Linked DNA regions of Drosophila melanogaster. The protein of the gene in region 3 purifies or fractionates together with the protein of the main gene of each other region. This does not show direct contact. Each region holds a gene or a part of one and is shown on either strand. Other genes may lie near its edges.

Region 1 (3,924 bases), on a different chromosome or scaffold from region 3:
TTAACTTATGATTTGATAATAAAATTTTCATTTCACAATTTAAGTAAATGTGGAGTAAGTTTTTCCCATGTGAAAACTGAATTACTTTATTTATTTATTTTGAAACATAACATAAAGTTTTCCCTAAATATTTAGAAATATTTTTGTTCTGTAATGTATCTTATCTTATTATAATTTGGCTTGCCAAACGTTAGGACAACCTAAATTAGATTTTAAACTATCCTTGTTATTAAAGATTTCTAAATTAAATTTTATTATTATAAAGCTTTTGAGCACAGTATTCTGACAGAGAGTATATACAAGACTGGCTTTTAAAAGCTTTTATTTTATATGTATGTACATACATCTAAAATTCGGATTGGTTAATATTTAAATTCAAAGACACCTTCTTTTAAGAATTCAAATTTCCAGTCAAAACATATTTTTAAGTCGTTTCTCTCCCTCTCTAAAATTGAATTCTTTTTTATTTATTTATCTATCATTATTCAATTGTAAAAAAAGCTTTTTGATACTAGACAGTTTCTTTGTGTTTATTTGTATAATGTAGGGATTAATGCAATCTTGGAACGCAGTCTTTTGTAGATAAGAGTTTTCCTATACATATTTCGCGCTGTCAGGATTATACACATTTTCAGATAACAACTATTATGGTCTTTCAAGTCCTTCCATCCTCAAATGAACTCCCTCCTGGGTGGATATCAGGAAATTACGACTGGAAAACTTCAGCGGGATCTGTGTTTTCTCCGACCTGCTGAACTTAAAATCCCTTAGAAGGTATACAAGACCCACCTTCACTTGCAGTTTACCAAAACGCTCGCCTATGCAATTTCGAGGACCCTCGCCAAAAGGCAAATAGGCGAAAGGATGCCTAGCCTTAATCTCTTCTGGCTCAAAGCGACTGGGATCAAACTTTTCTGGATCGGGATAAAGCTCTGGGTCGTGATGAATACTATGCACAGGTATTATTATCTTAGATCCCGGCTCCAGGATTAGGTTGCTATTCGGTATCTGGTACTCCTTGGTGGAACGCCTCAGTAAGTGAGGCAGTATAGGATACTTGCGAAGCGTCTCGGCAACCACTTGGTCCAGGTAGGGCATCTCCTGAACGGAGTCGTACGTGAGCTTTTGGTTGTTGCGTTTCAAAACGGCGAGTACCTCAACCCGTAGCCTTTCTTGGACATCGGGGTTGAGGGCCAGCTCATACAGGCAGAAGGACATGGTGGTGGAGGAGGTGTCGAACCCGGCCAAAAAGAAAACCAATGCCTGGGCCGCAATCTGCTCGAAGGAGAGGGCGTCTTTTACTCCCTCCTCACCCAATTCCATTAGTAGTTGGATCAGGTCGTTGCGATGAATATTCTCCCGTCGCCTGTAGTCCAATGTCTGGCGTACCGTGTCCAAGAAGAACTCACTGACCTCCGGGCGAAAAAGCCTGAAGCGCAGCTTCCTAGCCAACTCCGGCTGGGCAAACATAAAGGCCTGGACGAGCACCGAATGCAGGGGCTCCTGGGTCACTGATCGGCCCATTCGCCGGAACTGCGACTCCGGATCCTGGAGACTATTACACTCGAGGCCGAAGGCACAGCTGCCGATCACATCCGTGGTGAACCTGGCACACAGATCCTTTGCCTCTATCTCGCCGACCTGGAGGCGACACGCCTGCGTTAGCTTCTCGCCCACCTCCACCATGTTGGGGAACATGAATTTCATCTTGCCGGAGGTGAACACCTGCGTCAAATTCTGGCGCAACCAGCGCCACTCCGGTCCGTCCAGGAAGAGAAGGTTCCCGGTCAGTGGATCGTCCCGCACATTATGGAAGAGTCCTCGATCGGCGAAGCTGGAAAAGTCCCTGATCATTATATCGCGGATCAGTTCCAGATCCATGATAAACAGCGACTTGGTCATAAAAGTGAAGTAGCCGCAGTAGCGCTCCACTCCCCGAAACTTCCGGTAGATCCGCAGGTTGATATCCGTCCAGTGAAGGTCCCTTCCCAGCCCACTCATATTGCCGCGGAAGTACACGGGTCTTTCTCCGGCGACGCCCCTTCTGCTCCAGTAGCTGTAATGCCAGCGTAGCTTGACATATAGCAGAAGTCCGACGGTGAACACGAGTACCAGGAGCGTCAGCATGGTACCTACTGCTCGATAGAATAACAACTGAGTGGAAAAGTGGGGTACATTTGATTTGCCGTCTGAAAAGCTTTCGCTTCGCTCTCTTTTCGGGGACTCTCTTTCTCTATCGGTCTTATATGCAAAGAACTGCAGTTATCTAAACATACATAAACATATCTTGCGTCATTTTAAATGAGAATCAAATGATTTGTAAACAAAATATATAGAGCGTTGCTAATGTTCAGTTTTCAGATCAATTATTATTTGAAAATTTAAAAAACTTCACTGGCTAAGCGTTATTAGATTATTTACAAGTTTTACAAGTACATTCTAAACTTTCCAAAGTTAGTAAAATTCCGAGTCTATATGCGTTCCACTATGGCGCTGCGAGTGTCCGAAGCTAAGGGGATGTCTGTTAGGTCTGAATCACCGAACTTGAAGCGCTGACACAATGCCAATCTTGGCCTGCATTTTGCCAAAACGCAGACCTATGCAACTGCGGGGTCCAAATGTTCCGAAGGGCAGATATGCAAATGGATGGCGGGAGTTGGACTTATAAGCCTTGAGGCGGCTGGAATCGAAGAGTTTTGGATGTGGATATAAGTGCGGATCGTAGTGAACACTGTGCACAGGTATCAGTAATGAAGTTCCCTTCTCAACGATGAGCTCAGTATTGCGGACCCTAAAGCTTTCTTGTGTTTCGAGCAAAAATTTAATTAATTGGATGTTTTCGAAGAGTTTCTAAAAGTTAAGTTGCGCTATCAAATTTTCCATGCTTACCAGACAAGACCTGTTCTGGATAGTTAATTTTAGCTAAGGCGTCGTAAGTAATCGCATTTCCTTCCAGAACCCTTTCTATTTCATCCCTTATTTGATTCTAGATCTCCGGCTGGAGGGCTAGTTCGTACTTACAAGAGCTCATCGTACTGGAGGAGGTCTCGAATCCAGCCAAGAAGAACACGATGGCCTGGGCAGCCATTTGCTCCAGGGTCCAGTTGTGGGAGAGATCAAACTTTGACCCTCCTTGCCTGCTACTTCGTCCTCCGCTCGGAGGACTGGTCCATAAAGTCATTCCGCTTAATGCCGGTTTAACCACCGACAAGAAGAAGTCGGTCAAATCATCGCGAAGAATCTTCATTTTTAACTTTTTAGCCAACTTGGAGTTGGTAACTGTAAATGCGGCCCTTTCTTCTGAACTCGGCTTTGGGATTCGGGATCCACTATGTGCCGATTCCCTTGATGTTTGCAATCAGCGGTAGAGGACGCTCATGGGACACTCCCCGTTCTGGCCCAATATGTGTAGGTGTTGTAATAGAATCTATATAAGCCAACATTGGGACCAAACTGAATAATGCGAGAGTGAGCCGCATGGCGATCAAGATACTTCTTTGGATTAAGCTATCCAGCACACTGGTACGCGAAGTATTTTCTTGAAAGCTTATTGTTAGGTTCTAACGAATTTTCTTCATAGATCTCGGGAGCTTAATCGGCAATCAAGCAAACAATCAAACATATGTACAATATACATATAAACATTTGCTCAGCTTTTGAGTCGACAAAGCTTTTTCCCATGGTGAACTAGACGGTACTAGAAGATAAGGTTGTAAACAAATACTATATACATTGTTTAGTTTAAGTGTACTATTGTACATTGTGATGATATAACTTATTCTTTAAGAGGTAAAGTGAAGAGCATACTAGATTCGTTGAAAAGTTTAAAAGTAAAAGTTTGAAAGTAAAATATAGAAGGAAACCCTTTGAGACTCATATATGTTAGATCAGAATCACAGGAGTTTATATGTACGCCGGACTAAA
Region 2 (4,297 bases), on a different chromosome or scaffold from region 3:
TTCAGCGGCAAATTGAAACCGCTGATTGAGTAAGTGAATGAGAGAATGAATGAGTGATTGAATAGGCGGCCAAACCGAGTAACTGATTGTGAGCGACTGAGCGGCGAAGAGCGATGCATGTGATTAAAAAAGCGCTGCCATAATTTGGCTTTAATTGGCTTGACGCGTCGCGTGCTGCCGTTGCTATAGTCGAGTGGCTATGGCTATATAGCCGCCGCTTTATAGCCTGGAATCGAGCGGAACTCGGTGGGTGTTGTGTGCCACATATTAAGCAAACATGAGCATAATGGCAATTTACACACATGCACAACCGGCGAATACACTCGCAGCTGTATACGTATATGCGGGGCCCAATTAACATGACATGTCGTACGCGTTGGCCTGATTGGGACTCAGAATTAAATTCGAGTGCGGGCGAGGGGAGGTGTTGGATCACGGGGATTCAATCCCGCGGCTCTGTGATACACGACGATTGCATTAACGACAAACCTTCGCTACAATCTGCAGGTGAAGCGACACAAACTTAAAGAGGAACTGCGTATCCAGGATTATATCAGATCTTGATTTACTATGTGTTCAAAAATATTTAAATGTATAAACCAAATCAAAATATATTGTAAGTTAAGTTAAAATATTTTATTTAATTCTATTGAATTTCTATATTAACTATATTAACTCTTATTTTCCCCAAGTACATTTGAGTCCTTGCACTCGGAAGCAAATGTGGCTGGTTGCTTGTTTTAAAATACTGCGCGTGACAACTGGGAGGAGCTGACTTTGCAGCGAAAGGCGAGGCTATAAGTTAGTGGCTGCTTTAATTTTAATTATTGCTATTTGCGTGCAACCCTCTCCTCACCTTACCATGATTCCTGGTGGCAGTCTGACTAATTTGCCAACAACATGACACCGACTTGAGCGGCTCGGAACCGCCTGATTAAGTCGAAACACTCAACCCGGGCTTGCCTATGTTGTTGCTGCTGCTGTTGTTGTTGATGTTGCTGCTGTAGCTGTTGTTGCCCCTGATGCCGCTGCTGTTGTTGCTCTTGTTGCCGTTGCTGTTGCACATGGCCAACGGTTTGGTTTTTGGCATGCGCCTGCGTTAATTAAGCTGCTGCGTAGCTGGAACTCTGAACGCAGCTGCGTGTCGCGCGGTCGTCTGGTAATCTCCGCGGATTAAGCCGACACTTCGCTCCAAGAGTCATGTTGCTCTTTGCAGGCTTGTTAACCATATTTCGACTTGTTCGCCCCGACTGGCTGGCATCACATAAACGGCCTGCGGTCAAGTGGTGGCCAGAAGTCACCAAGGAGCACTTTACTCGCTAGGAATTCCAGAATACTAGTCCCACGTTGTGACGAACACAAAAATTAAAATTGTTCAGACCAATTAACTGTTACTCTACAAAGATCGAAGGTGGTTCCATTAAATTTAAGATTTTGATTATTTAACTGATTAGAATTCCTTAGAATTCGACGGCTTCTTGAATGAGTCTTTCAGTGGCCGCTGAACTTTCCACAGAGCCAATTACATATTTTCCAATGCTTGCAAGACCATTGGCCTAAAATATTTTTTAAAAGAATACTTGAGTTTTGAGGTTATATTCTTAGTTATTTATACTGACCCTGCACCGCTTGATAAGTTCATTTTGAGCATGGCTAATCTGCTCCTTCTTGCCACCCCAAGTTCGCAAAATCGATGTTTGAAGAGCCCGATCAAAGGCAAAGGTCATGGCCCAAGGCTTACAAAGCGGAACATTGTTAATTGCATTCAAATGGACCGTGGCCTCCTCTTCTGATTGAGCGCCACCACAAAAAAGTACTCCTGCAGAAAAGGATGCATAGATTAGAGAAGCCCCATATATTAGTTACAGACATCCATACCCATTACGGCCGGAGGAACACTTCGCCTAATGGCGAGAACTGTAGCCACTCCAATATCCGCTGGCGGATGATTTTTGTTGCTCTGCAATCCAGGCATCACCATGCTGGGTTGCAAAAGAGTTCCCTCGAGAAAAACGTGGTGATCACTAAGAGCCTTGTATACTCCAGCCAGGAGAATTTCGTTGACCTTCTGACACCGATCCAAGTCATGATCTCCGGTGGCCAGGACCTCGGGACTAATGATGGGTACTAGTCGCTGCGATTGACAGATGGCTGCATACCGGGCCATGACATTAGCGTTTTCCAAAATGGCCTGCGGCGAAGGAGTATTCTTAGTGATCTTCAGGATGCACCTCCACTTGGCAAAGCTGCAGCCCTCCTTCTTGTACTGTGCACATCGATTGGCTAGATCATCCAGACCCTGGGTGGTGAACTCATCCTCGGAGCCGAAGAGTGGTGAAAAGTGCTTGTCTACCTTTATTCCCGTCAGGATGCCCTTCTTTCTGAGGGCCTCTACGAATGGCAGTCCGTCATCCGTACGCTGATGCAGTGTTTCATGGTAGAATATCACGCCGGATATATTCTCCGCTATCTTCGGATCGGTCGTGAATAGCATTTGGCGGTATAGCCGGCGATTCTCCTCCGTGTTCTCCACACCGATCAACTGAAATCGCTTGCCCATCACTGCACTGGACTCGTCGGCCGCCAGGATTCCCTTACCAGGAGCCACCAACGCCTTCGATATGCAGATGAGTTCTTCCTGCAGCTCCTTGTTCGGGTAGTAGAAATGCGTAGTCATTGCGGTTTACTTTGAATTTTGACTTCACGAAAGTGAGAAACCAGAAAGAAATTTTGAATGATTAAAAAAATGAGAGAAAAATCATGGAAGCTAAATTTTAGATTGAAAATTTGTTATGAAACGAGATTTAGCCCAAAATCATTAGATATTACGCAAAGCATTTATAATTGACCACTTATTTTGATATTTTCTAATCAAGATGCTGAGTTTAGATTTATTGCGATACTTGCCTACTACCTGACCATTTAGCACTTGCCTCCGTCTAATGACATTCTAATTAGACTTTTAATTGCTTTGGCAAAGAGTGGGAGTCAAAAACTTCCAGAGGCAGAGATTTGGGGAAGATTAAGCGCCAGAAAAGAATAAACTTGCCTCACATTAATTATATCTGACCGCACCGACACATTTCGTTTTATGAGTTTCACTTCGGACGTTTTATGGCTAAAGTTTTGTTAACACAAATTATAAGCGGAAGCTCTGCTGTGTCATAAAAGAGGCAATACAAAGTGGAATAAAAGGTGATGTTTCATTTTGCGGCCCATTTGCGGAGCGTGAATTGAATTTTCCAATTTTCTCTTGCAATTATCTGACAGACTTCGAGGTCCATTCGAAATTCAATTGAGCTCGGCTCGATCCGACGACTAATTCTAATTGGCGTGGGAAACGCATCGGAGTGCTCCAATAGCTTTAAAAGGTTCGCTGGCTAGACAGTTGCCTAATTTTGTGTAAATTATCGCACGAATTATGAGTCTCGTACGTGAAATTCTCCAAAAATAGCCAAGACAGCAAACACATCGAAAAATTAAGTACGATAAATATCAAACAACACGGCCAGCACAGCCACAATTGCATCGCATTTTGGATTGTTGTGTTTTTTTCTCCTCCGAACCGATCCGATCCGATCCGATCCGACACCGTCATCAATATTCAAGTTTAGATCCCCCAATTAGGCCAGAGGCAAGACGCCGGATCGGCAAGTCCGACGAGCCTAATCGCAAAGCCAATAAATATGATCAACTGCGAAAATCCTCCACTGCGGTTCGGGCTCAGCCAGCCGAGATGTCTTTGCACCTAATTGAGCGTGGAGCGGCTGAGTCAGCCGGCCAGTAGCCACCAGTTACTTGAAAAGCGGCTTGAAAATTATTAATTGATTATCTATAAACGTTTTAATTGAAAATGGCGAGGAACTTAATTAATAAACCGAAGATTGGGTGCTCTTTGGTGGGCGAGCAATATAATATGAATACAATATTAATGTTGTAATGAAATTTAAATTGGTTTTTTAAGTATGCGTTTTTGACATTACGATCCAAAGGCTAGATAATGAGCATTTTTTATTGAAAGTGTATTTTTCTTACTGATTTATACACCTACTAAATAACCTGCAGAACTTCCTCTTCTTTAAAAAGCTGTTAACAGTACACTGCACAGACGATTTGAAAGTTTTGGTAATTGGCTTTTTACAGCCTTTGGCTCTCTCCAATAATCAAGCAATGATCATTACCAGCCGGTAATACCCACTGAATTGGTTAGGGAATTCAATGGACAGCCACTTGGCTCCTGTCTTTTTAATATTAAATTGGCCGCTGGTCAGCGTTTAGTCAGTCAGGCGTAATTATT
Region 3 (4,410 bases):
TTTTACATGCTAAATGCTAAATTTGATTTTGTGTACATAAAAGTGGAGGGTGAGATTCGCATTATTCGCTAAATGAACTGAAAAACTTTCCGCTACTGGAATTTCCCAAAATTTTACGAGCACGTTGTTTTCCTCATGTCTTTCGCAACTATAAATATTGATTCACCCTATTTAACACTCCCAAATACATACACTTTGTATAGCTTAAGTTATCGCGCGGCAATAAAGTCGTCACTATCGAGAGTAAAGCACAGAATTTTCCACCATGGGAGTGAGTTTGGGAGGAGAGAAACCACCGCGCTGGGCGAACGCTGCGTACGCTTTGAGCTCGATCTGGCCGACGAAGCGGGCAAGTGAACTCCAGCGGATGTGGGGAATCCTCTGCCGTTGCTTCGATCTTGTTTGCCCAGCCGATAAGGCGCAATCAAAGTCGGCAACTCCAGCGTACGGCTAATTAAAGCCAAACAAGCGAGCCGGCCATCTTCGATCGGAGGAAGCCCTTCCGGGCCACGCGGATTGGCTATCTCTAGAACGCTAATCGCCAGGCAAATATATCCAGAAACAAACTTTATTATACGTAGCAAATGGCAGTCAAATCTGATCTTCTAATATGTGCAAGTTTTTAGTCTTGGGTGAACACGTCGTCAGTGGCCTTCCTCTGAATGTATGCTAGATGATGTTTGTGGGTATAAAGATTCATTGTACTTCATGTATGCCGCGGTGCATCTTGCTTGACTGGTCGATCCCTTTCGCCCGCCACCCGATCCCGTATCACAAACGCAGTCACAGTCTTTCGTATACTAAATGTAAGGTGGGAGCTCGGACGGCATCGAGTTAATCGCCGAAGCCAGCGAACTCATCCACATAGGTGGACATCAGATCAGAGCGACAGGAGACCTGAATGTTGGAGGCATTGGCCTTGAGCCGAAGGTTCGCGTCGTTGGTGAGCAGGATCATGTGGGGAACCTGCGCCTGCAGCTGCAGGCAGCAATTCAAAATGCTGTCATCCGGGCAGTCGATCTTGATCAGGTGATCCGCCTCCTCCAAAGCGGATTGAGCTGCAACAAAGATAATACACATAGGTAAGTTCCAACGATTTACATACACAATCCACGACCCACCTTGTATTTGAAAGCTTTCGTCGAACTTGGTGTTCAAAAAGCGTATTGCTCGCATGGCAATCACACGCTGCAGGCAGTCCGACTGGTACTTGCTCTTTAGCTTGTCCAGCTCTTTGATTACTATGTACGGAAGGTACAGCATGCTGCCCACCGTGCCCGGCAGCACCACATCGGTCAGTCTCTCCACGAACTTGTGGTTGTGTATGAGGACGTTGGTGTCCAGCACAAAGTACATGTAATCCTCAAGCCTTGGGGGCAGCTCCTCGGCATCGGCCGCCTGCAGCATCAATATAGTGTCGTCCTCTTCCTTAGCCTCATCCTGACCTTTCTGTGGCGCCTCCTCTTCAATGGACTCCGCCGGCAGCATCAATAGAGTGTCGTCCCCTTTCTTAGCCTCATCCTGATCATTCTGTGCCGCCTCCTCTTCAATAGACTCCTGCCATTCCATGGGCTCGACCTCCATATCGCTGGCCGTCGAGCCATCAAATGCACTTGGATTTGTGATGTTGCAGGCTTCTGGTTGTTTTTCTATCACCTCTTCGTTGATCTTGGCCACAATATTGTTGTTGCGCTCCTCATATAGCTGCTTCTGCTGCAGCGAAGCTCTTAACAGCATGAGACGCTGGTAGGCTAGGGAGACGATAAGGAGAACATGGGATATGAGTAACTATATGCACCGGGCACTCACCAGTTTGGGTACGTCCCGCCTTCAGGCGATTGGCATCGACCAGGGCTTTTGGCTTTTCCCAGGCATTCATCGCCACCTTAGGCGGAAACTTCAGGAGTCGCTGGGGCGTAGATGTGGACGCACTTGATCGACGAGATGCGGAGGAACTGTGGGTGATCCGCTTGGTGGTCCCCTGCTCCTTCTCGTTGTCCTGCACCCGCTTTAGTTGGCCCTGCAGGCGCTTGAGGCGGTCCTGGGCGGGATGCTGGCTCACTCCTTGCCATATTGCGTGGAAAAGTGGAGTTGAATCTTGGTTCTGGCATTCTGGCAAACGCGCAGTTTGCATGGGTTTTACCATTTGACGGACGTGGCGTGCTGATGATCCTAACCAGCTGGTCGTCGTCCAACGGCCTCAGATTGGAAGACTTTGGCGTGTGCTTACTTTCTCCACCGAGCGACATATTGTGTTCTTTAACATTTGATTTCTAGGAAGTACTCATTTATTTTGTATTTCAATAGGCAATCTGACTTAGAGGTGGAGAAACATCGATGACATCATCGATATCATCGATCTTTTCAAACAATCACAAGCATCGATGTTTTTCGAGGAATCATCGATGTTCTTCCATACATCGGAGGACAAAAGTATATAAATTGGGGGTATAAATTAAATTCGGATATAACTTTGTTATGATTTATTTAAAATACTCCTTATTTATATAAGCAATATTTTTTTTTAATTATTATTTATTAAGTGAAGTAATAAGAAATATTAAAAATGAAAATAATCTTAAATTAAACAGAAACAATGTTTTGTTTTTATTTAAAGCATAAATGTTTATGTTCAAATTAATTTAAGTTATAAACCATAAAATAAATTAAATGAGTATATGTAATTCTACGGCATACATTTTGGCGTGGAAGCTAAATACGAATTCATACAATGAATAGCTTATAACTAAAATTTACTGTAATAATCTATAGCATAAGTTGTTTTAAGCCATTGAATTTGAATAGCTAAAGATTTCATTTATAAAGACTTGAATGCTGCCACCTTAATTGTTGCAAAAACATGTTCTTGAAATAATAAGTTGCCAAGTTAGTTAGCTTGCCAAATAAAATCTTCACTGTTTGCCTGCTCGAGGTAATTTATATTTAAAAGTTCTTTCAAAATCTTGCAAATTAATTGCTTGGTAATAAACAAATTGATTTAAATTTAAATTTAAAAAAAAACTCAAAATTTAAAAGCTAAGCCAATGATAGGAGCCCCCTAACCGGTAGGCAGTATTTTCAAGCGGCGCACATACGGTCACACTGCACGGTTTCGAATCGCTTAACAAGTTTTTGCTTAAAAAGCTTTGCCGAGCACTAAGTAACCACCGCCTTTCGCACCCACAACACAACGCCACCAGCCAGAACAATGATCAAGGTACGTGGGGTGCTGTAAATAAGGATCACACTGCGATTAGACGGGAATTAGTGCAGCAAAAGCGGCCGATGACTGCGCGGCCGGGGTGCAAAGTCCAATTGGGATGTGAACTCGTGTCTATTATAAACATGGAGTCCCATAAATAACTGTATCTCTGCCCACAGCGATGTACCTTGTACCCAGCCAACAATTAGCATTACTTCCCCACCGAGTTATACAATAATACAATGCGGCTTATCGGGAAACTGGACACCGAACGCATCGGTCAGCTGCTTTCGAAATAATAAGATAAACCGGCATCGGATTATAAGTTTATCTGCAAATTGAGGATCGTGCTATTTCTATACTAACTTTAACGGACAACTTCTCAATGTTGTTAAAGATAAGGATCTCAGTCCTACAGATCGTATATTTTGCATTCTATATGCTTATTCTGTTAAGATCTCTAAACATTGATGTTGTAGTTGGGATGAAATGGAATGGAGTGCATTTTTAGAATCTATTTCCTTGGATATATACATATATATATAGTTTCTAACCCCATGCCTTTCCCACCCCCAGAACGCCGTTTCCCTGGTGACCGGAGGAGCCTCTGGACTGGGCCGCGCCACCGCCGAGCGCCTGGCCAAGCAGGGCGCCAGCGTGATCCTGGCCGATCTGCCCTCCTCCAAGGGCAACGAGGTGGCCAAGGAGCTGGGCGACAAGGTGGTCTTCGTGCCCGTGGACGTGACCTCCGAGAAGGATGTGAGCGCCGCTCTGCAGACGGCCAAGGATAAGTTCGGTCGTCTGGATCTGACTGTGAACTGTGCGGGCACAGCCACCGCGGTAAAGACGTTCAACTTCAACAAGAACGTGGCGCACCGCCTGGAAGACTTCCAGCGGGTGATCAACATCAATACCGTGGGCACGTTCAATGTGATCCGTCTGTCCGCCGGACTGATGGGCGCCAATGAGCCCAATCAGGATGGACAGCGCGGCGTGATCGTGAACACCGCCTCGGTGGCTGCCTTTGATGGCCAGATCGGCCAGGCGGCCTACTCCGCCTCCAAGGCAGCCGTGGTGGGCATGACCCTGCCCATTGCCCGTGACTTGAGCACCCAGGGCATACGTATCTGCACCATTGCACCGGGTTTGTTCAACACGCCTATGCTGGCCGCCCTGCCGGAGAAGGTGCGCACCTTCCTGGCCAAGTC

Evidence for each region.
Region 1: the proteins of Swt1 (region 3) and Cyp6a13 purify together in Drosophila melanogaster (affinity purification with mass spectrometry, with the first as the bait; one large-scale study listed by BioGRID). This does not show direct contact.
Region 2: the proteins of Swt1 (region 3) and Ald2 purify together in Drosophila melanogaster (affinity purification with mass spectrometry, with the first as the bait; one large-scale study listed by BioGRID). This does not show direct contact.

Annotation. Positions count from the first base shown.
Region 1 is NT_033778.4:8,568,734-8,572,657, reverse strand, and holds Cyp6a13 (cytochrome P450 6a13), read right to left. Parts: upstream 2,160-3,924; 5' UTR 2,128-2,159; coding exon 646-2,127; 3' UTR 511-645; downstream 1-510. UniProt on the Drosophila melanogaster protein: May be involved in the metabolism of insect hormones and in the breakdown of synthetic insecticides.
Region 2 is NT_033777.3:26,412,512-26,416,808, reverse strand, and holds Ald2 (aldolase 2), read right to left. Parts: upstream 2,722-4,297; 5' UTR 2,678-2,721; coding exon 1,879-2,677; intron 1,820-1,878; coding exon 1,620-1,819; intron 1,557-1,619; coding exon 1,461-1,556; 3' UTR 617-1,460; downstream 1-616.
Region 3 is NC_004354.4:18,088,174-18,092,583, forward strand, and holds Swt1 (Swt1 RNA endoribonuclease), read right to left. Parts: upstream 2,337-4,410; 5' UTR 2,250-2,336; coding exon 2,144-2,249; intron 2,065-2,143; coding exon 1,810-2,064; coding exon of another isoform or gene 1,752-1,809; coding exon 1,122-1,751; intron 1,059-1,121; coding exon 835-1,058; 3' UTR 552-834; downstream 1-551. Other genes in the region: scu (scully), read left to right, coding at 3,209-3,217, 3,779-4,410.